Linked DNA regions of Sus scrofa. The protein of the gene in region 6 interacts with the protein of the main gene of each other region in a pairwise test. Links are inferred from orthologs where the notes say so. Each region holds a gene or a part of one and is shown on either strand. Other genes may lie near its edges.

Region 1 (4,140 bases), on a different chromosome or scaffold from region 6:
TTGTCCTCTTTCTTAAGAAGCACATTCCATTTTCATTACTAGACTTAAGTTTTATGAGGATCCAAGGCTGTGGCATTGTGTCCCCCAGCGTGCCTATACTATGTGGGTGCTCAAAACACTTGGTCTAATGATGAAAGCAACAGCAACAGCAGGACACCTTTGGATGGAGCTGTGGGATCACTGGGGCTAACTTGGCCCATCATGATACCTAGGTAAAATCTATTGTGCAGGCTGGACTTTATCTGCTGGCCCATTACATGTTGATATTCTCCAGGCTCCAATCACAGACCTTCCCTTCACACTCTATGCATTCCACCTGAGCAAAGGCTTTCATTTCCATGACCTTACCTCCTATCACATATGTGGATGACAACAAATTAATGTCTTCAGCTCTGGCTTTCTTCCTAAGCTACACATTGTATCTCTCTACTGCCTACTGGATATCTCCATTCCTATCTCTTACTATTAGACATTGCCATTCCAAGTCTACATGGTGACATAATCCCCAACTAAATTCATCATCCCCTTAAAAACTGTTCCTTCTCAGGTGTTGCTTATATTAGTGAATGGACCCACCCAACCACCTAACAGTGAAACCCAGGTCCATTTCAAATCTTACCACCTATGGTGAATCAATCACTGATTCCCAGTGATTCTATCACCAGAAACACATCTCTAATCTATTTGCTTTTCTCCTTTTCTACTGAGACCATTCCTGAGGCATCAATCATCATAACTTACCAGAGTTATTGCTAACTGGTGACTCTGCCTCCAAACTAGCTCTCATCCAATCTAGTGTGCAGCCAGAATGCTCTTTCCAAAATGTGTGTTTAAAAATTCTTAAATAGCTTTCTATGGTCCTTAGGAAAACATCCAAGTTCCTTGTTAGGGCTTAAAACATCCTTAAGAATTGCCTTGTAAATTAAACAAGAACATGGCAAAATGGATAAGCACACAAGGTCTAGAGGAGCCAGACTGACCTGCCCTTACTAGCTATCTCAATCAAGTTACTTGATTTCTATGTCCTTCAGTATCCTGCCAGTGGAATGGAAGAAATATTGTCTACCTAACAGTGTGGGCGTGAATGTTTCATGAGATCAAATACAAGGCTTGACACAGTGTTTGACAAATCTGACACACAGTAAATGCTTGGTAAATATTGGCTACTGTTGTTATCTCTCTAGTTAATTTCTCAATTCTCTCCCATTTGTATTCTGAGTTCCATCCACAGGGCACATCTTTCATTTCATTTCCTCTTCTCACACATTTCTTCTTCCTTTACATATTCAGTCCCTCTGGGTACAAGTTCCCCTCCCACAATTCTTCAGGTCTCATCCTAAATGCCTCATCCTTGGCAAAGTTCTTCTGGTCCCTCCAGTCTCCTGTTAGGTGCCCTTATTACATGCTCCTCAGGGCTTTGTGTTTTCACTGCAATGCGTTTGTCTAACTTTCTAGTACTTTCTTCTCACTGCTCGACTGTAAGCTCTGTGTGAAGGGCAGCTGTGTTCCTGGTGCCTAGTATCCTACCACACAATACAGCTTTAATAAAAGTTATTATGTGTATGAATGTATGTACCTTTCCTCTCCTAAAATACTGCAACCCCCCGCCCCCCCAACCAAAACTTAAGTTGGTAGAACTTCACAACTTCCCCATACAGTAAAATACAGTTCAGCACAGGCCTCCACAGAATAAACATGGTCCAATAATACTGGGAAGGGCAGGTTACAACAAAGTTAGAGTTTCTGAACCATAGCAATTCTCAATGTCTTTGCTATACTACAGTGCATCATGAATCTCCAAGTTGTATGAGCGGTGGGTGGGTGGGGGTGGGGGTGGGGATAGCGTTTATTTTTCAAAGTATCTCCTGCAACCAGTGCTCTGCAGAACCCACCTTGGCAAAGTAGGTTTAAAGAGATGCCCTCCGCTACCAGAACTTCCAAGTAAGCTAGTAGTTGTGAACGGGAAAACTCTGAAGCACTTATTTCACAGGGTTCATTGTTTTTCGGTTGACACCCCCTGGTCATGGAATCTGAGAACTGTAAGGACCCATATACATATATCAACAAATCTCCTTTTACTGATACAAAAACTGAGACCCGGAAAGGCAAAGCATCGGGTCCAGGGCCACAACGCAACTACAAAAAACAGGAAGAAAGAAGTAGAACCGCAGAGACCCATTTCGGCCCAGCGACTTTCACAACAAACAATGCCTACTTGGATCCGCCAAGTGTTGCCTCCTCAAATTTTATTTTCAAGCCTTATTAAAGTTAAAGTCAGTTTTTCTCGGCTAACAGCTTCCTAGGCCTACAGTTACTAACTAGTCCGTCTCCACCCGCCTCCCCGCGCACCCCTTCCCCCGCTCCGCCCTGTATACAGTTCCCCGTAGTCCATCCAGTGCTAGGCTGGGGCGGGGAAACAATTCCTTTCTTTCTTTCTTTCCTTTAGAGTTTATTTTTGGACTGTAAACTTCTCCAAGTAAGCCAAACGACAATGTTAATTTTAACGCCTCCGCCCTAAGGCGCTACTACTTATGCCAGCGCCCCCCAATCTACCTACCCTACCAGCTCCCTCCCTCGCCCAGACCCAGGGGCTCTACGTTTGGTCTTTACCTGGAACTGCCATGGCGCGGGGAATTGGGGTTGCAGGACCCCTAGGCTTTCGAGAGCGCGCTCGCTTACCGCTGGCTGCGGGGACAACGTACAATGACGGCCGCCGCTTCCTTCTACTCGCGTCGCGGTAGCCAGATGACAGTCGGGTAAGGCCCTAAAAGCCTGCGGCGATAGAGGAACCAAGAAGCTACTGATGCAGTTTCCGGAGGAATTGTATTGTAGACCACACACGGTCCAAACCATTACTGCCAGTTTAGGGGTAGTTAATGAGATCTACACACGCGTGTAGTAAAGTAAACAACCCAAAGACTTACAAATTTTTATTTTTTAAATTTTAATACAAGTTAAATTAATCCACGGAGGCTTAATAATATTTTATTGATTCCCTAGAGGCCATCGGAAGCCCCCTTCTCAGGATTAGCGGTGCTCGGGTCCGGGAGCAACATGGCGGCGTCCGGGAGCGGCTGTCTTTAGAAAAAGATAGGACCTGTGCCGCTGCCTTGCGGGATACTGACAGACTGGAGCTTTTCGCGACCTCCAGATTTAAGGAAGCGTGTACCGATACGTGGACTGCTTTAGTGACTCACCGTTCGCTTTTATCCCCAATTAGGAACAGCGTCCTGAGCACTGACCAACATGAGCAACATTTACATCCAGGAGCCTCCCACGAACGGGAAGGTGAGCTTCCTCTAGGGTACCTGGTCTCTCCAGAATTATCTTTCACTGGCAATTCTGGGGTCTAGGGTTAGAAGAGATTACAAGAAGCCTTGTCCTTTCCTCTGTCTCTGAATAGCATTGCATCGAGAACCATACACTGGCACTTCTCAGCACATAATTGAAAAAGTCTTCAGGTGGCGATTTCTTTATTAAACTTCTGGCCCTAATTTGTGCTTTAACTTAGCTCTGCAGGCGTTTTCTAGGGTCGTAGGTAAAAAGCCAAGGTGTTTTAAAAGTTGACTTTTTTTTTTTTTTTTTTTTTGGTTATCTCGTTGATGATTTTTTCTCTGTTAGTTCAACAATCCTTTTTTTGAATGTCTGCTAGGCACCAGGCACTGTACTAGGTACTGGGGATACCAAAATGGATGGATAAGCGCTAGTTGTTGCCCAAGAGGGGTTTATGGTTTAGTTTGAGAGGCAGGCTGGTTAAGAAAAACCTTATGATATGTTTGATAGGAAGGCTATGGCGAGAGGAGCTAGCCTATTGCTATGGTAGTACTGAGAAGTTAGCAACTGGAAACTAGGGAAAAGCTTCATGGCAGAAGTATTTTTGGAGCTGGTCTTAAAACGTGAGCAGATTATTAATGGGAAATGTTCCCATATAAGAATGATTTTCTGATTGATTTTGATGGTCAAGAATGTCATTTCCCATCCAGTGTTTATATGCAGTATGAGCAGGGTCAATAATGGAATAAGTATCACCTGAATTCTTGAAGTGAGACCTAGTCTCTATCAGACACAAAATATGATGAACCAGCATAATGGAAAAAATAGTGAAAATGAAAGTGTGTAAGTGTATTAAGATGAAGTAAA
Region 2 (2,595 bases), on a different chromosome or scaffold from region 6:
CCCCTGATTCTCTGCATCGGCCGCTCTGGCCTCCACCCAGGGTGGAGTGTGCCCAGAGCTGGGATGGCCAAAGATGGCTGCGGGCATGGGCTCCCATTCCCCAGGGGGGCAGGACCTGTAACCGGCCCCCTGGCAAGGCTCCTGCCCCAGCCCAGCTCACCCCGAGTGATCTCGCCCCGGCGTCCCCCGGCATCGGCCCCTCTGAGGCCGCACTGGGCAGGCGGTGGGCTCGTGGGACCCTCTGGCTCCGTGCTCACGCCCCCCGTGACCCCTGTTCCCCGGGAGCCCCAGCCTGGCCCAGCGAGGGTGCTCCCTGTGCCCCTGCCAGCCCCCGCCCAGCTGCGCTCACCCCGGCTGGAGACGTTCATGCAGAAGTACATGCCGTAGATGAGGTACACATACAGGGTGCCCGGCCTCATGAACATGCCGCGGTTGCGAGGTGTCTGCCGGCCCCCCCTCGAGTGGGCAGCCTGGTCCTCCGGCCCCAGGTACGCCTCCGTCTCCACGATGCGCCCACGGAGCTCGGTGCCGTCCCCCAGGTGTCGCACCAAGACCTGCATGGGGCAGTAAGGAAAGGCCCGTTCCATGCTGTCCACAGCCCGGCTCGCCCCCCAGGTCCCCCACACTGTCCCCTCGGCCCTGCTGGACGGCAGGTCCTGCTCACCGAATGTCTGGTCCGCAGGGTGCGGCCTTCCTGGGCTTCATCACCCGGCCTGACTGCAGAGGACACGGCCCGTGGCACCCCGCCCGGCCCCCGGCCCTGGCAGAGGGAGCTCCATGAGGGGTGGGCTGGGGAGCACCTGGGAGGGGAGAGGGGCCAGCCCAGCACAGGGCAGAGCTCAGTGGCCAGGGGCTGTCCCTGGAGGGCTGGGCGCCCGGGCCAGCAGAGCAGGGGAGCCGGGCAGGGCCTGCGGAGAGCCCCTGCACTGGGAGTCGAAGCCTCCACACCCGGAACCCCTCTGCCCCCCTTCGCCACACAGCCCCCCAGCACGGGGGGTGGTGCAGGCCGGGTGGAGGAAGGCCCAGAAGGCTTGTGGGCATTCACACGCTGGGCTGGGCCAGGCCACCTCAGAGCCCTGGTCAGAGGGGCCACTCCTCCCCGCGTCCCTGTGCCTCCCAGGCCCTGTCCTTGCCATCTTGCTTCCTGTCCCGAATGTCACCGAGGTCCTTTCCGGAGGGCGGGTGTTCTGGTTGCCCCGCCCCCAGATGTCCCCTTGCTGGTGGCGGGCCCAGAGAGGGAGCACCTTCTCAGACCAGAGGGGACACCAGAGTGGTCTGGTTGTCGCTGGCTGCTGCCTGCCATGATCTGCTTGAGGACAAGGGCATGACTCAAGCCCAGTCAAGGGGGCTGCGAGGACATTCCCTGGGGGCCCTGAGAAAGCCCCCTCCAAACAAAGGGGCACACGGGGTGAGACGCTGCCTTCTCTGCCGGGCACTGCCCTGTCCACCCCTTGTTGCTCAAGCAAGTGTGGGAGCCTAAGGGGGGACACAGAGGCCCTTGGGCTGGTGACCTGTTGCAGTCCCCGCCTACCACCTTAGGTGCTAACTGTACAAAATGAAAAAGCGGCAAGACAAGAAAGGCTGGAGGAACAGCTAAACTGTAACACCGTCGCTTGTATCTGCCCTGTTTCTTACTCCATCGTGAACCGCCCTGTGCTAAAAGCAGAACGTGCTAAAAAGAGAAACCACCCCTTTTCCTTTAACAAGCTGCTCCCGAAGCTGCGGGAAGCCTGGGTTCACTGCCCAGTGCTCCCCGCCACTCTGCTGGCCGATAACCCTGCCTGGGATCTCACTGCTCCCGTCTCTACCTCCTCCTACCCTCGCTGTTTCTAACCCGCCACGAGCCGTTTCAGGTGAGTCCCTGAACCCTCCTTAAGGCGCTGGAGAAGGACCTCCCGGGCTTGCAGCTGAGAGCATCCTTCTGGGAACACACTCCGGTCCCTTCTTGACTACGTCACACCTTAGGATCTGTTCCTGGCACCAATCTCCCATTAGCCACAGAAACCGACTCTCCTTGGTCCTTTGGACCTAAAGGTCACAGAGGAGGAGCTCCCGTGGTGGCACAGCAGAAATGAATCTGACTAGTATGCATGCGTGAGGATGCAGGTTTGATCCCTGGCCTCGCTCAGTGGGTTAAGGATCCAGCGTTGCCGTGAGCTGTGGCCTAAGTCACAGGCGGCTCAGATCTGGTGTTGCAGTGGCTGTGGTGTAGGCCAGTGGCTGCAGCTCCGGTTTGACCCCTCGCCTAGGAACCTCCCTATGCTGCGGGTACAGCCCTCAAAAGACAACAAAAGAGAGAAAAAAAAGAACAGAAGAGGGGTGCCTTGGAACCTCCAGGAGACCAGGAAGCCAGGGCTAGCCAGATGGTGCTCCGAGGGATGTGGCCACAGTGCTGCTGCTAGGGCACCTTCACGGTACACATTGCGTGGTGACAGGCTCCACCCCCACAGGCCCCAGGCAATCCTGCTCCCTGCTCCATGCTGGGGAGCTAGCCCTGGCACTGCCAGCTGCTGTGGGGAGGAGGCGGTCTCGACCGTCCTGATGCTGGGCAGCTCCAGTAGGGGCCCTGTGTCAGGGCACAAGGCGGGCAAAAGC
Region 3 (3,500 bases), on a different chromosome or scaffold from region 6:
GGATCCATGAGGATGCAGGTTCGACCCCTGGCCTCACTGGGTGGGTTAAGGATCTGGCATTGCCGTGAGCTGTGGTGCAGGTTGCAGACTGGGCTCGGATCCCTCGTTGCTGTAGCTGTGGCAAAGGCTGGCAGCTACAGCTCCAATTTGACCCCTCGCCTGGGAACCTCCATATGTCTCGTGTGAAGCCTTCAAACAAGAATAAAATAAAATAAAATAAATAAAATAAAATAATGAAGTGTGGTCCTCATATTGCTAAGTTATTAGGATCATCAGTGTGGCTTTGGTGTGACAAGCTTAGCCGTGTGCCTCATTTTCCTTACTTAATCCACACATACCCGGATGGAGACACACCGGGTCCACTGTCGTTGGCTATTGAAATGCAGCTCTAATGACTCTGTCGCTGAGTGGCTGAGTGGGTCTAAAGTTGTCTCCCAAAATCCCATCACAGCCTTCCACAAGCTCTGCCCCCTTCACGTGTGTTCTCAGCCTTCGAAATTCTTCAATCTGAAAATGCAAGCAAACAAAATAAATTAATCATTTATTAGTAAGGCATGAACAAGATTGGGCTTTCCCAAGTGACTTAAAATATGCACACATAACAAGAATTTTTTTTTCTTTTAGGGCCACACCTACAGCATATGGAAATTCCCATGCTAGGGATCGAATCAGAGCTACAGCTGCCAGCCTATGCCACAGCCATAGCAATGCCAGACCCAAACCTCATCTGTGACCTATGCCACAGCTTGCGGCAACACCGGATCCTTAACCCACTGAGCGAGGCCATTTGTTTGTTGCATCAGGAAAACATCTGGAGTCAAGACTCCAGGAGAATTCCCTGTGATTATCCGTGGGATGCATTTTTCTTGATCTTCCCTCAGACAGGACTGGAAGGAGGCTGCTTTGTTAGAGGAGTCTATGCTTTTTCAAAAAGAAGACGATGAAAGTAAAGGCAGTAAGACTGCATCCAGAGGCTGATTCTTGTCCTAAGACCCAAACCACCAAACCACTCCACCTTTTTCAGCTCAGTTTCCACCTGTGTATAATGGAGATGAGGATGAGAGTCTTCTCAGAGCTGGTGTAAGAAGCAAATGAGATCATTCATGAAAATCACTCCGCCTCATGCCAAGTACTTGGGAGATGCTCAATAAATAATCATACAGGAGTTCCCGTCGTGGAGCAGTGGTTAACGAATCCGACTAGGAACCATGAGGTTGCAGGTTCGATCCCTGGCCTTACTCAGTGGGTTAACGATCTGGCATTGCCGTGAGCTGTGGTGTAGGTTGCAGACTCAGCTTGGATCCCGTGTTGCTGTGACTCTGGCGTAGGCTGGTGGTGTACAGCTCCTATTAGACCCCTAGCCTGGGAACCTCCATATGCCGCAGCAGCAGCCCAAGAAATGGCAAAAAAGACAAAATAAATAAATAAATAAATAAATAATCATACAACTTCTTTTGAACTCAAACCTTCAGCACTTTGAGATAATTATCCAGCTACAATTTTATATGCAAAAAGTAGACTGAAAATAATAAAACAGTTGACTGAGAAAACAAAAGGTCCCCTCTCCTCCTGTTCCCGTAACATGAAATCATGTAAGAGCTGCAGTTTACAGCCAGGATCTATAAATCACAGACAGGGTCGCTGATCAGCACTGGGGACTAGAAACTTCACAGCCTCAACATAGTTCAAGAAACACTTCTACTTTTTTTTATTGACTTTGAAGCTTATTTTAAAGCTAGGTTAACTTTATATTTACGTATTCTGAACTGAAGATAAATCTTTCAAGCCCCAGGACTCACCCTAAAGCACATTCTGTGAAAACAACTGCTTCTCAAAGAGAAGATCTGAATCAACAGCCAGCCAGTCTCAAATCACTGCCTTCTTGGAGAGAACTATTTCACAAGAAATGTTTTTCTCTGATCAGAGCAATGCTTTGAAGACTTCAAACATCAACAGAGATTGAGGGAAAAACACATCTCTCAGAAATGCCAATTTTTCTGAAGTCACCCCCCCTGAACCCTTTAGTCACTTCAAATGGTTTCAAGCGTGCCCCTCGCTGGCCCACGCTGAAATGAGAGATGATGAGAAATGAACAGAATAATATTCTAGGATAAAAGTCCTCAGCCAAATTCAAATGTCAGGGCCATAGAGACTATCGTTATCACAGACGGGAGGACGTATGGTTTCATCGACTTTTAATGCTACTCTACTTACACACGGTATTTGTTTTCAGCCAATTTAAAAGAGTGATGGGAGGACAGAGACCCGACTCTTCCGAGACAAATCCTCCTCTTGTGAAGGTAGCAGAACTAAGCAGCCACTGTTCCCCGAACCCGGACGGCGCTCCAGCTGCTCTAAGACGTTGATTCCAGCTCTCACTGATACAAGAACCAGACTGTCCAAAGTTCAGCATTCAAATGGCTTTCTTCATGACTGCCTTTAAAGGGCTAAGTACCAGGGTCTGAGGTTCAGCACTCATTTTTTTTTAGCAGTTCCTGAGGTCCCATACACATCTACTTATAGACCCATCTCATGTGTTCTCATGTTGAAAGAGCAAAATAACACATGAAAGTTTGGAGTCCTCATCTTCTTTTCTTTTATCACCAGCCAATGATTGTACATGAATTAAAGGAATATAATTCCTCATGGTAGCAATGAAGGAAGAAGGCAAACTGCACTTAAAACAGTCTATATATGTATATATATTAAGGGGATTGTATGTACATGCGTACATCTCTCCACTTTTCATGGACTGCAGCCTTGCTATTTTTGTTTCATTTTCTCCTATCGCATTATCTTTCTTTCTAACAGCATTGCTCTCTCTTCCTGACCTCCCATCCCTAAACCAAAGCCTCATTCTGTCAATGATCACTCCTTAATTAGATCTAAATTTTTTTTTTTTTTTTTTGGAGCAAGGTCTTAGAGAAAAGAACATTCTTTCCCCAAGAAGAGTGATGTAAACTTTCCTCTTTCCCCAATTCCCAGCCCTGGTCTCTGTCGCTGTCTTCCCATCATTAGGATGGTTACTCAGGAGCCACACAGAAGGAAACTAACTCCAGAACAAGAGACAATGGAGCCTGTGACCTCATGGCAAGTGCTTGATATCATGCAAGACACAGAAGAAATACACAAAAATCTTTTTACGAGACCCTTAAGAACAATGCATTTTCTTTCTTCCTTCCTTCCTTTTTTTTTTTTTTTTTTTTTTTGGCTGCACCACCTACAGCATGCAGAAGTTCCCAGGCCAGCATGCAAAAGTTCACGTGGCAGAGCAGTGATTCGAGCCACAGCTGTGACAATGCCAGATCCTGAACCTGCTGAGCTACCAGGGAACTCCCAAAGAACACACTGTTAAGAAAGGAATAGAGAGTGTCTTCCAGGAGAGAGAGAAAAACCCTAGAGTTACACTGCCCAATATAGTAGCCACCAGCCAGCCCCGTGTGGCCACAGGCATTTTGAAATGAGGCTGGTCTGAACTGAGATGTGTGGAAATACTGAAT
Region 4 (3,500 bases), on a different chromosome or scaffold from region 6:
GTGATGCTGTGACATATTAAAGATATGACGGTATAGTTAAAAATCAAGGGTTTTAGAGTCAAACAGATCTATATTTACATTCTGACTCTCTGATTTTCCTTGAGTAAATTGGTCAACCTGAGCTTCATCTGTCAAATAGCTGTCATGGCAATACAAGAGGAGGTATGTAAGAGTGTCAGTAACTTGTAAATGCCAATGTTGTACCGACATTAGGTGATAATCCTATTTTGTCATCAGTTGCTGAGCAGTTAGTGCCAGACATCTTAATAGATGCTTTATGTATACATTTCCAACAACCGTTCTGTAAAATAAGTATTTTCTGGTTTTTTGTTTGTTTATTTGTTTACAGATGGTGAAACCAAAGTTTAGAGAGGTTTTAACGGTCTTCCTGAAGTAAAATTAGGAATCAGACCTAGGGCTCACTCAGGCTTTTGCTTATAGCCATTGTTCTATACTGCCTCTGAGCTGGGTCACAGTGGCTGATTTTAAGGTCTCTGTTAATTTGCTTCCTTCTTCAGGAATCACATGCCATGGGGAAAAAGCCTGAAAATCCAGCAGACATGATTGAAGAAGGAGAACTTATCCTATCTGTGAATATCTTGTACCCTGTTATATTTCATAAGGTCAGTGGTAAAGCCTTTTGGACTTCACATATTATGATTGTCTTTTGTCAGAGTTGAATTATTTGAAGTTGAATTATTTGACCTTAGGGTTCAAAATAAATGCAGGCATATGCTGTCTTATCTGACATTCTGTCTGTATTCTTGGGTTCTTTGTTTTATAAGGAATATCGTAAATAAGGTTAAATTTCAAGTGATCTCTTGAGTAGTAGGATTAGAGTATTGGAATATAATATACCTGATTTCTATACTAGTAGCAACTGAAAGTATACAAATCCATAGTGATTCTGATTATATGAATTCATGAGGGTTTTTGGCAGAAAAACTGGCAAAGAAGGGGGGTATTTTTTGTTCACTAGTTCAGAATTCTTGGGAGTTATTGAACTAAGGTCAGCTCTTCTTAGATGAAATTGCAGAAAGTTAACAGGTCAGGGGTATCCAGGAATTTCTTAGGGGCCTCTAATAAAAAGAACTCTATCCCCAGCCCAGAGTGTATATATTCTTGATTCCTCAAATAGATGTATCATAAACTTTGATAAGGTTTAATTGAAATTTGCTGCACGTAAATTGTACTTATGGTTAAATAGGCTTTTATGAATCATCTGGGATATAGTTAGTACTAATTATGTTGTTTGATTATGATGTCAAATTATTAAAGAAAACAAAGGAAAACTAAACCTCTGGGTTTATAACATGAAGGTAGTGTATACATTGCTTGACCTCTAGAGGTAACTTCCAGGAGAATTATGTTCAATTATAATTTATTAAATTTATAATTTAATTATATATAACTATATTCCAAAGGCTTTTTTTTGCTGACATCACTTTAGTAGCATATTGGTTTTAAACTGTAGCTTAAACTAAAAAAGTTTTATTGCTGGGCATATTAGTCCATTCTGGCTGCTATAACAAAATAGCATGGACTAGGTGCCTTATAAACAACAGAAATTTGTTTCTCACAGTTCTGGAGACTGTAAATCTAAGATCAGAGTGGCAGCATGGTCCAGTGAGAGTCCGCTTCCAAGTCACAGACTTCTTTTTTACTAAAGCACCCTCCTGTTCATGAGGATTCTACCCTGATGACCTAATCGGTCTCAAAGGCCCTACCTGCTAACACCATCACATTGAGCCTTCAGATTCCAGCATGTGAATTTTGGGCAAACATAAGCAGTCAGACTATAGCACCAAGTGTCTCAATTGTACTCCTGGGATTTTAATTTATAGAGATTACTGATGCTAGCACTAGAGGCCACTGCCATTGAAAGAAGATTTTTATTATTTGCACTTCCTCAGGGGAGGAGGTATGCTATGCCATTGCGGGCCACAGGAGAAGCACTAGTATCAGTCTGGAAACAGAAAAGATAAAGGAAGAGACATAGGCCATTGCCCTTTGGGGGGTTTCAGCAGGAATATCAAAGCAGGGCAGAGTAAACAGTTTAGGATTGGCTGGCTTGAACAATTCCACTGGGCTCTGGGGTATAGTGCTGTCCCTAGTTGTCTGGTACCGGGCTCCAATTGATTCAGGACAGAGAAAATACTGGCTTGGTATACTAGAGTTAGAGAAAGGAGATAGTTTACAGTGGGGCTCTGAATTACAGAGGAGATGGTAAACAACTTTGGTGATTAGTTTGGCCCTAAAATTGATAGATGCTGAGTAGACTAATGGCAGAATGTAAGAAAACGCAGGACACCATGTTATGGAAATAATTTACATTAAAAAAACTTAATTTAGATCTGGTCATGACAGATCTATAGTTTAGCTGCTTTGTCTCTAAGTGAACACTGATTTATTTACTGACTTTAGCACAAAGAACACAAACCATACCAGACGATACTGGTACTGGGCAGTCAGAAGCTCACGGAACTAAGAGATGCAATTTGCTGTGTTAGTGACCTCCAGATTGGTGGGGAATTCAGCAACACTCCTGATCAAGCACCTGAACACATCAGCAAAGTAAGGTGATTTTTTTTTTCTCTAACCCCCATAAAACAAAAGGAAATAATAATAAGCTAAGGAAATAGTGATTACTCTAGCAGACTCACAGACTTTCCAGTAAATGTTTTTTTCTTGTATGCCATTCAATCATGCCGATCTCTTTTCTTTATCATCAAGACCTTTTCAAAGATTGGTCTGTAGTTGGTTTTGATTTCTTCATCTCCCATTTATTTTGCAATCATTCTTCATATACTCTTCTTTTTAGGGTCATAGGACCACCTAATTGTCTAACCAATAGGTCTCTTTTCCACGTTCATACAACTTGACCTCACTATAGTATTGAACTTGACTCTTCACTCTCTTTTCTTGAAACCCCATATGAGTTTGTCTGTCATATAACTGCTCCCAGCAAAGGGTTTGGGGTCTTCCCCGAGAGCATCAGTGCCCATAGAACAAGCTGCCAGTCCAAGGACCAAAGCAAAGGGATATAGCATCTGATGTTGGTCCTTGCTGGTGTTTCCCAGGGTTTTGCTCTTAAAAGGGCAGAGAAACCCTATATTCCCATTGGATCAGGATGGAGAGGAGCAAAACTGTGGCTACTCACAGTTTTCAGAAGGGATTGCTCACCCAATAAAATAGTAGGGCCTTGATCCTTCCGAATTTCATCATAGACCAAGCTTGACCTAATTCTTTTACTTGGCACAACTCTGACGGAAGACCTCGGCTTTATTGACATGCTGAAGAGGTGCAGCATCTCCTGCAGAAGAAGATGTTTGGAACAACTAGAATGGAGATAGAGTTTGGACCAGAACCATCACAATCTCTTTTTTTTTTTTTTGCTCTTCCTTTTAACACCAGCCAGCCAAATAAATGTTGTTATAACTTAGGTTTCATCTTAGTTCTTATTCTAAATTCTTTTCCTGGGCTTCCCCCACCCCTAGCCC
Region 5 (3,500 bases), on a different chromosome or scaffold from region 6:
TAGTTCTCTGGTGGCTCACTGGGTTGAGGACTCAGCGCTGTCACTCAGGTTTGATCCCTGACCTGGGAACTTCCACCTGCCACGGGTGCAGCCAAAAAAAAAAAAAAGTGTGATTTGTGATTTGAAGGGTATATTTGGACCTGTGATAGCTGGAGTTGTGGGCACCTCTCTAAGAGCCTCTTGCCTCCAGCCTTGCCCCTGGGACCCATCCCCGCCAGGGGCCACCCCAGTGAGCACTCACAGCTTCCCCTTGGCTCCAGCTCCTGGCTCTTGGTCACTTCAGCCTCACCCCCAATTCCCACGTTCAAGTTCTGAATCCTGAGTGTGGCATTCAAGGCCACCATGACCCGTCCCCGAGCCACACTGTCGGGGTTCCTGCAGCAGGCTCCTCTCAGTCTTCCGGATTCTGAGACGGGGGTCTGGCCTCTGAAGGGTCTTCCTGGGGTCCCCGGGTCAGTTGGCATCACAGTGGACAGTCACCATCTGCTGCCCTGTCTATTCCCCTTCTGTCTGGGGGTCCCCGAGGCAGAGGCCCAGGCCTGACTGCCACCAGCAGCCCCCCCTTTATAGGAAGCTACCAAGCAAGCTCTCTGTTTCGTGGGAAGAGGGGAGGACACCAAGTCAGCGCCTACTGTGTGCCCTACTGCGCCAGGCCCGCTTCAGATGCGATTTTATTTCATCTTCTCAATCTGCCTGTATCTTTTGAGGCAGGTATTCTCGCCATGGAGCCGCTAGGCAAACTGAGTCTCAGGGAGGTTAAAGCATATGCTTAAGGTCACGCAGCCTGTAAATGAGGATGCTGGTGTTTGAACCCAGGCTCTGGGGCCTCCAAATCCCATACGCATTTTCCTCCTCTGTCACCGACTAGTTCTCCGGCGGGATCCTAAGCCTGGGGAGGAGGGACGATGGCCAGGAGAGCAGCCCCAGGCTCAGTCTCATCCAGAAAGTTCCGTTATCTCTGACGCTGAGGACCCCAGCGGGGAAGCCAGAGGGGAGGGGAAAAGGGCCCCAGACGCCACCATCACAGGACCATGTCCGTCAGCCGTGCCCTGGCTGAACCAAGGACTTCCGCCTGCAGAGGGGCGGGCGCATCAGCTACCCCCTTGGGGAGACCCCTCCCCAGCTGTGCACCCTGCCTCCTCCTTGTGGGAGGCCCGGCGAGAGCCCAAAAGGCTGACAACTCAGGGACCGGGATCCTGGACCCCTCCAGCCCCCAGAACCTGGGGTCACGGGCTTAGCTGTCAATGCTGCCCAGCGCCCCAGGCAGGCTTTGTGGGAGTCTCCCCAGCAGAGAGCATCTCCTGGGGGGGGAGCAAGAGGATGGGGGTGGAGAGAGCACGCTGGGGCTGAATAGCCACATGTGTGTGCCGCCACGTGGGAGTACGAGAGAATGAGGCTGAGCGCAAAGAAAGAGAGAGAAGGAGACAGACAGACAGGCAACCTGCAGTCCCACCCAACGCCCAGCCTCCCCTGCAGCAGCCACGTGATCTGGCTGCCTTAGGGCAAGGGCTATTCCAGGCTCTCCCATCCACATCCAGGATGCACGTGGGACAAGGACAGCCAGCCTGGGGGCACCCTGAGGACTGGGCAGAAGTAAGGTGGGAGTTCCCGCCCAGCCACAAGAAAATGAACAAGCTGCTGCCTCTCTAAAGTAAGTCATTTCTTTACCTAACGGGCTAAGGGCTGTAATGGCCATGCGGTGGCCCAGCCTGGCCCATGGAAGTGAGGGGCTCCCACTCGGCCCAGGCCACTCACCTTCAGGAGGCCGATCTCCTTGACACAGTCCTGCCTGGCCTTGGCATCCATCATCTCAAATATCTTGGGGGAGAAAAAAAACAGAGAAAGAGTGGTTAAAACCTAGCACCCAGCACCCCCAGTCCGGGTTCTCCCACCTCCTTGCTGAGGGAACCCTATAAGGACAATGATTTGGGTTATTGAGTTTTTACTACCTGCCAGGGGCGGTTTTCACCGAATCATCACTGTACCTCCCATGAGGCAGGAGATACGGTCACCAACTTACAGAGGAGGAGAGCGAGGCCCCAGAGAAGTGCAGTGACTTGCTGAGGTCATGCACTGGTAAGTGGCAGGCAGGAAAACACGCTTGAAGCCTCAGTCTTCACCTCTGTAAATAGGGCCAACAGCCTGGGCTCATAGGGCGGTTGTGTGGACTGAGTAGGAAGAGGGGGTACAGTACACGGCCCCTGACGCCCCAGCCCCTTTAGTGTTCACTCCGCGTGGGTCCTCCCAGCACCTGCTAAGACACAGGAGGTGGTCCCTGCAGCAGCCCCACCACAGAACCCATCCTGGCACTAAGAACCAACACCAGAGAAGCCCAGAACCGACCAGAGAGGGCCAGCTGGCTGCAGAGCTGCGTCTCGGCTTCCCCTTAGCTCCCTTGGGCCCTGCTGGGTCACCCACCACCTCTGAAGGATGGGATGGTGATCCCTACCTAGAAGACTGCGGTCAAGGTTCGGGGAGCTCTGGCACCACCCAGTATACAGCAGGTGCTCAGCGCATGCTCACTGCTCTTCTCCTTTATGGTTCACTCCACCTGATCCTCCCAGAGCCCAGTGGGCGAAGTGGGTACTAATTTCCCTCACTTACAGAGGAACGGGAGAGAGTGGGGCGGGGAGGGCGAGGGGGACAGAAGGACAGAGAAGGGACAGGGTGAGCCCAGAAGTACAGTGTTTAGACACGAGCCGGCTGCCAATGGGGTTCTGCCCCCACGGAGCGGTGGGCTCACCTGCACCTTCTTCAGAGCCACTGTCTTCCTGTCCAGCAGGCAGGTGGCCTTGTACACCTCGCTGAACTGGCCTCGGCCGATCTTCTTCTCGATCTGGAAGTCGGCCAGCGAGCAGCGAAAAGACAGGGCATTCGGGTGCCTCTGGAGGAGAGGTACAAGAGGGCACTGGTGACGAGCCAGGCAGACTGGAAGGCTGGGACCCGGGGGGGGGGCAACGCCCCCTCCAGGCCCCTCATCGCCAGCTCCACTCTCAGAGCGCCCCCGTGGCGCTCTCCGCACCCGCTCCACTGGGTCCCAATGACCCCACTGTGCAGATGGGGCTTCCGCCACAGCACTCGTCACCGGCCCTCAGCATCTGGTCACTGCTCCCTTCTCCATCCCCGGAAGGCAGCTCCATGGGGCCAGGGCCTCACCTGCCTGTTCACTCCTGAGTCTGGCTAGCAGAGCAGGTGCAATAAACATTTAAGGAGGTGACTCTCCCAAGTCACCCAGCGGAGGGGAGGCCCTGCGGGGTTTCTCTGGCCCCGTGGCCTCCACGTGCAACCGCAGCCCTAAGCCTGCACGTCATCGTAAGCAGCAGCCACGTCCCCTCCAGGGATGGCCATGCCCACCTCAGAGATGAGAAAAGGAGAGTTAAATTTGCAGTCTTACACGCTGAGCCCATTCTTTGGATCAACTGTCCCCTTTCTGGCAATGGGAAGAATCCGGAGACCTCATGATGACCCACTAGGGACCAGCACTGACAGCCACGATGAAA
Region 6 (4,180 bases):
TCACAGTCACAGAAAAAAAGAGCCATCCGCCTCACTTTAAAGAAACTGAGGTTGGAGTTCCCTGGTGGCTCAGCAGACTAAGGACCTGGCATTATTGCTGCTGTGGCGCAGATTCAATCCCTGACCCTGGAACTTCTGCATGCCATGGCCAAAACCAAACCAAACCAAACCAAAACGGAGGCTGCAAGATGGACGCTGTCTGCCCAAGACAGTTAGGGTGATTAGGGGGCTGAGCAGTGACACAATTTTTTTTTTTTTTAGGGCCGCACTCGTGGCATATGGAGGTTCCCAGGCTAGGGGTCGAATCGGAGCTACAGCCTCTGGCCTACATCACAGCCACAGCAATACGGGATCCGAGCCGTATCTGCACCACAGCTCACAGCCAGATCCTTAACCCACTGAGCAAGGCCAGGGACTGAACCCGCAACCTCATGGTTCCTAGTCAGGTTCATTTCCTCTGCACCATGACGGGAACTCCGCCCAGTTACACTATTTAATACTCTCAACACCCTGTAATGGCAAGGACAGTGGTGGTCATTGTCATTTTAGAAATGTAGAAACTGAGGCATAAAGAGGTGGCGGCACAGGCCTGGGGACACAGAGCAGCAATGGGACAGAGCCCGGGAAGCGGGTTGACAACTCACGGGAGCCGGCGTTGTTGACCACACAGTCCAGGCGGCCGAAGCGGCGGATGGTCTCAGAAAGAGGGTCTGAGGAGAAAGCTGTCTTGTGAGTGAACAGCATTGGCGCCCCTGCTGGGCTCCCCCAAGTGAGACGTGGCAGAAGCGGAGTCACCGCGGAGGGGACAGGACATTGTGGGGGCCGACCCCAAATCGCCAGGCATGGCAGGAGATGAGGAGACTGGACGCCAGGGTGCCAGAGACCAGAGGGCTGGTGACACACACCCTGAGCTCACTACTCCAGAGACCCAGGAGGGTGGGGGATGGGGGAGCAGATGAAGGGAAGGGGAGAAACCCTGGGAGAAGGAGAACTCTTACTGGATCCAGATCATGTGACAGGAGGGACCAGGGGCCTTGAAGGCCTGGGAGATAGAGGAGAATCTTCTCGGCAGACACAGGACGTGGCCAGCCGAGTTAGGAAAGCTTTGCGATGAAACTGAGCTGAGACTCTGGGGGCAGGTGTCATTTAGCCAGGAGATGGGGAAGGGTAGAGGGAATAGCATGTGCAAAGCCCGGGGTGAAGGGAGAGAGAGAACGATTGGAGATTGAGGGGGACGGGGAGGGACAGAAACTACGCGCTCACCTTCACATCATCCTCTTGAGTCACGTCACAGAGGACAAAGACAGACCCAGGCAGCTCCTGCTCCAGGGTCCGACCAGTGGACTCTGCAGGAAGAGAAGGGCTGGGGGCTGGAGCCTGGGTCTCAGAGAGGAGGGGCTGGGGGCCCAGGATCCTGGGTCTGAGGGAGGAGGGCTGGGGCTGGATCCTGGGTCTGAGGGAGGAGGGTGCTGGGGCCTGTATTCTTCTTGAATCTAAGGGAGGAGGCAGTGGGCTGAGGACTGGGGGACCCTCACTCACCGTCTTTGTCACAGATCACCACCTGGGCGCCACTTTCCACTGCGAATAGACAGGGAATAGGTTAGCCCTGCAGAGACCTTGGTGAAGATCTCTGCTGCCCTCTGTGGCCACCCGGAACAGGGCCGTTCCCCCCCCACCACCGCCCCAGCTCTGTTCCCCTCGTGACCCCAAAGTCTCATGATGATCCCGTAGGGCAAAAGGCAGAAGCCTAGCCTTCTCCTTGGCTATTCCAGGTGACTTCTGGGGCTCCTGAGTCTCCATCCCTGGGTTCTAGAGTAAACCCTAAACCTCCAAAAGACATATTCCTTCAACCACCACCCCCGGCCCCCCATTCTGTAGCAATAGCTGAGACCCAGAGAAAGGGAGTCAATGGCATTTGAAAATCCGCCGCAATCTCAGGCCCCAGGCCACCTCTGCCTTCCCTTCGTTAACTTTGCAAATTGGATTTTACGAGACAAGAATCTAGATTCCAGTACAGAAGATACTTCGTCCCACACCCATTAGCCCCCGGGTCCCTCCGCTCCCAGACTCCACTGTTCAGAGCCGACCAGACCCCACTCACCGAAGGCTCGGACGATCCCAGCTCCGATGCCGCGCCCGCCCCCCGTCACGATTACCACCTTCCCGGCATAGCGCGTTCCCGTTGCCATCCCGCGTCAGAAGGTCTCCTTCGGCCACTCACTCACACTCACTCGAGGCTTCTATCCCCCTCTGAAGTCCGGTGAGGTCTTGGGGTCGAACCATAAATAGGGGCTGGATCCTGAAGCCCGGCCCCGGGGGCGTTGCCAGGAAAGCCAGAAGCCTGGAACTTGGCCCCAGCCCCCTCCTCCCTCAGACCCAGGAGGCCGGTCCCCCAACCCTCAAACTCGGGATTCCTGGAGTCCGGCCCCCTCTGCCGGACCTTGGACTCCAAAGTCCAGGTCCCGGGTCCTCTCTTCCTTCAGACCCAGGAATCCAGGTCGCCGGCCCCCTCCTCCCTCAGACTCAGTAATCCAGACCTCGAGCTCCCCCCGTTCCTCTGACACACAAAGCTGAGTCCGCTGTCCCCTCCTCCCGCGGGACCCAGGAGTTCACCACTCCAGCTCTACCTCTTCGAGACACCGGTGTCACAACTCCAAACAGACAGAAAGTTATCGACTAAGAGTTCAATGTTTTAATCCAAATTTGGACAAGTATTGGGAAAATCAAACTTTGGCCAAAGTAGCCACTCCTCGGCCACCGGGAGGGGACCAGATCACGCCCTCAGGTGAGGGAAGAGGCTCCATCTGTCCCGGAAGTACCTCCGGGACACGCCCTCCAGCTCTGATTGGCTGCCCTGCTTGGGCGGGTCAGAAGCTGGACTGTAGCAGCGTGACTCTCAGAGGCCACGCCTCCTCGTCTGGGGTTAGCGCGGGAGGGGCGGTCCCGGAATCCCAGGTCGGCTCCCAAGAGGCCGGGCCTGCGTCGCGCCCAGTCCCTCGGTGGGAGAACCCCGTGGAGTGGGAACTGGCCACTGGAGGAGATCTTGGGGGCGAGGACACGCAGGGCGTGGGATCTGACGGAGGTGGCGACGCAGGGGGAAGAGGGTCTCCTCGAGAGTCCAAACTGCCACCTGGAGAGGACGGACGGAGAACGAGAATGGCAAACTTTGGGACCCAGAAGTCCCGACACCCAGGACTTTCCTCTCAAACCTAGGAGTCCAGGCTCCCCGTCCTCTCCTCCCCAGACACGGCAGTCCTGGGATCCAGTCCCCTCCTACTGGGGTCTGGAACCCCCAAGCCCTGTCCAGCTCTTTCTTTACCAAGGCAGAGGGTTTCTGGCGGTCGTCGGACCCCCCTCCCCACCAGGACCTAGGATTCCGGGCCTCCAGACTCCCTCTTCCCTAACACCCAGGAGCCCAAGGTCCCCAGCCCATTCTCACCTGTCATCATTCGGTGCCACTGTGACGCCTCAGCAGCCAAGGCTTGAGAGAGGCTGAGAACTCGCTCCCGGTGACCCTCAGATGTTGGTAAATAAGGGGTCGTGTTCCTCGGACTAGAAAAAAGAAGATGCAGGGGTGGCCTTGAATAATTTGCCTGTAAGGTGAGGACCACGGTGCAGAGCGTGTCCTTCTGGGAGTTGTAGTCCCTAGCATATGGCTCTAAAGGATTTTGAACAGGGCGAGACCCTCTTTTTAAGTCTGCGTGCATTATGGGATCTGTAGTCCAATTGCCCGAAAACTTCCCGACAGAGGAGCAGAGTTTGACAGCAACGGTGGAACCGCTGTGAACTAGGGCTTTCTCATTCCCCAGGAATTCAAGCGTCTCTGAAATGTTCTGCCATCCATACCCTGGTACTCAAGAGTACTCAGGAGACATTAATACTTAATGCTACTCCTCACCCTTTTGTTGACTTTCTTGCTTCTAGTTTGGATCTCCAATTCCTTACCTGCTCCAGGACCCAGAGCTTCTGAGCCATTTCTGGCTCCTGAGTGTCCCAGGGCAGGCTGCAAAGGAATTGGAGCATTAGAATTCCTCCCCCAGGAAGCCCTCACGTCCTCATTTTGAGGATGAAGTGAAGGAGCTTAGCGAAGAGAGAAAATTGCCCCCCCCCAAACATGGCAAATGTCTTTTTTTTTTTTTTTTTGTCTTTTTTGTCTTTTGTCTTTTTGTTGTTGTTGTTG

Evidence for each region.
Region 1: the proteins of HSD17B14 (region 6) and SREK1IP1 interact in binary tests that used the Homo sapiens proteins (3 or more experiments, as listed by UniProt). The two-hybrid records come from large-scale screens. The link is inferred for Sus scrofa from reciprocal best matches to the Homo sapiens genes HSD17B14 and SREK1IP1.
Region 2: the proteins of HSD17B14 (region 6) and MPG interact in binary tests that used the Homo sapiens proteins (3 or more experiments, as listed by UniProt). The two-hybrid records come from large-scale screens. The link is inferred for Sus scrofa from reciprocal best matches to the Homo sapiens genes HSD17B14 and MPG.
Region 3: the proteins of HSD17B14 (region 6) and CA8 interact in binary tests that used the Homo sapiens proteins (3 or more experiments, as listed by UniProt). The two-hybrid records come from large-scale screens. The link is inferred for Sus scrofa from reciprocal best matches to the Homo sapiens genes HSD17B14 and CA8.
Region 4: the proteins of HSD17B14 (region 6) and SNAPC3 interact in binary tests that used the Homo sapiens proteins (3 or more experiments, as listed by UniProt). The two-hybrid records come from large-scale screens. The link is inferred for Sus scrofa from reciprocal best matches to the Homo sapiens genes HSD17B14 and SNAPC3.
Region 5: the proteins of HSD17B14 (region 6) and NEK6 interact in binary tests that used the Homo sapiens proteins (3 or more experiments, as listed by UniProt). The two-hybrid records come from large-scale screens. The link is inferred for Sus scrofa from reciprocal best matches to the Homo sapiens genes HSD17B14 and NEK6.

Annotation. Positions count from the first base shown.
Region 1 is NC_010458.4:43,343,453-43,347,592, forward strand, and holds the start of SREK1IP1 (protein SREK1IP1), read right to left. Parts: upstream 2,801-4,140; 5' UTR 2,624-2,800; coding exon 2,611-2,623; intron 1-2,610. Other genes in the region: peptidyl-prolyl cis-trans isomerase CWC27 homolog, read left to right, coding at 3,247-3,288. UniProt on the Homo sapiens protein: Possible splicing regulator involved in the control of cellular survival.
Region 2 is NC_010445.4:41,542,745-41,545,339, forward strand, and holds part of MPG (DNA-3-methyladenine glycosylase), read right to left. Parts: intron 761-2,595; coding exon 665-760; intron 555-664; coding exon 350-554; intron 1-349. UniProt on the Homo sapiens protein: Hydrolysis of the deoxyribose N-glycosidic bond to excise 3-methyladenine, and 7-methylguanine from the damaged DNA polymer formed by alkylation lesions.
Region 3 is NC_010446.5:73,117,367-73,120,866, reverse strand, and holds part of CA8 (carbonic anhydrase-related protein), read right to left. Parts: intron 508-3,500; coding exon 373-507; 3' UTR 339-372; intron 1-338. UniProt on the Homo sapiens protein: Does not have a carbonic anhydrase catalytic activity.
Region 4 is NC_010443.5:207,231,921-207,235,420, reverse strand, and holds part of SNAPC3 (snRNA-activating protein complex subunit 3), read left to right. Parts: intron 1-518; coding exon 519-623; intron 624-2,424; coding exon 2,425-2,574; intron 2,575-3,500.
Region 5 is NC_010443.5:265,133,907-265,137,406, reverse strand, and holds part of NEK6 (serine/threonine-protein kinase Nek6), read right to left. Parts: intron 2,885-3,500; coding exon 2,744-2,884; intron 1,819-2,743; coding exon 1,756-1,818; intron 1-1,755. UniProt on the Homo sapiens protein: Protein kinase which plays an important role in mitotic cell cycle progression. Required for chromosome segregation at metaphase-anaphase transition, robust mitotic spindle formation and cytokinesis.
Region 6 is NC_010448.4:54,141,344-54,145,523, forward strand, and holds the start of HSD17B14 (17-beta-hydroxysteroid dehydrogenase 14), read right to left. Parts: upstream 2,801-4,180; 5' UTR 2,628-2,800; intron 2,268-2,627; 5' UTR 2,190-2,267; coding exon 2,102-2,189; intron 1,579-2,101; coding exon 1,540-1,578; intron 1,347-1,539; coding exon 1,264-1,346; intron 727-1,263; coding exon 645-726; intron 1-644. UniProt on the Homo sapiens protein: Catalyzes the NAD(+)-dependent oxidation of L-fucose, yielding L-fucono-1,5-lactone, which rapidly converts spontaneously to L-fucone-1,4-lactone. Can also act on D-arabinose and L-galactose, with lower catalytic efficiency. Does not use NADPH.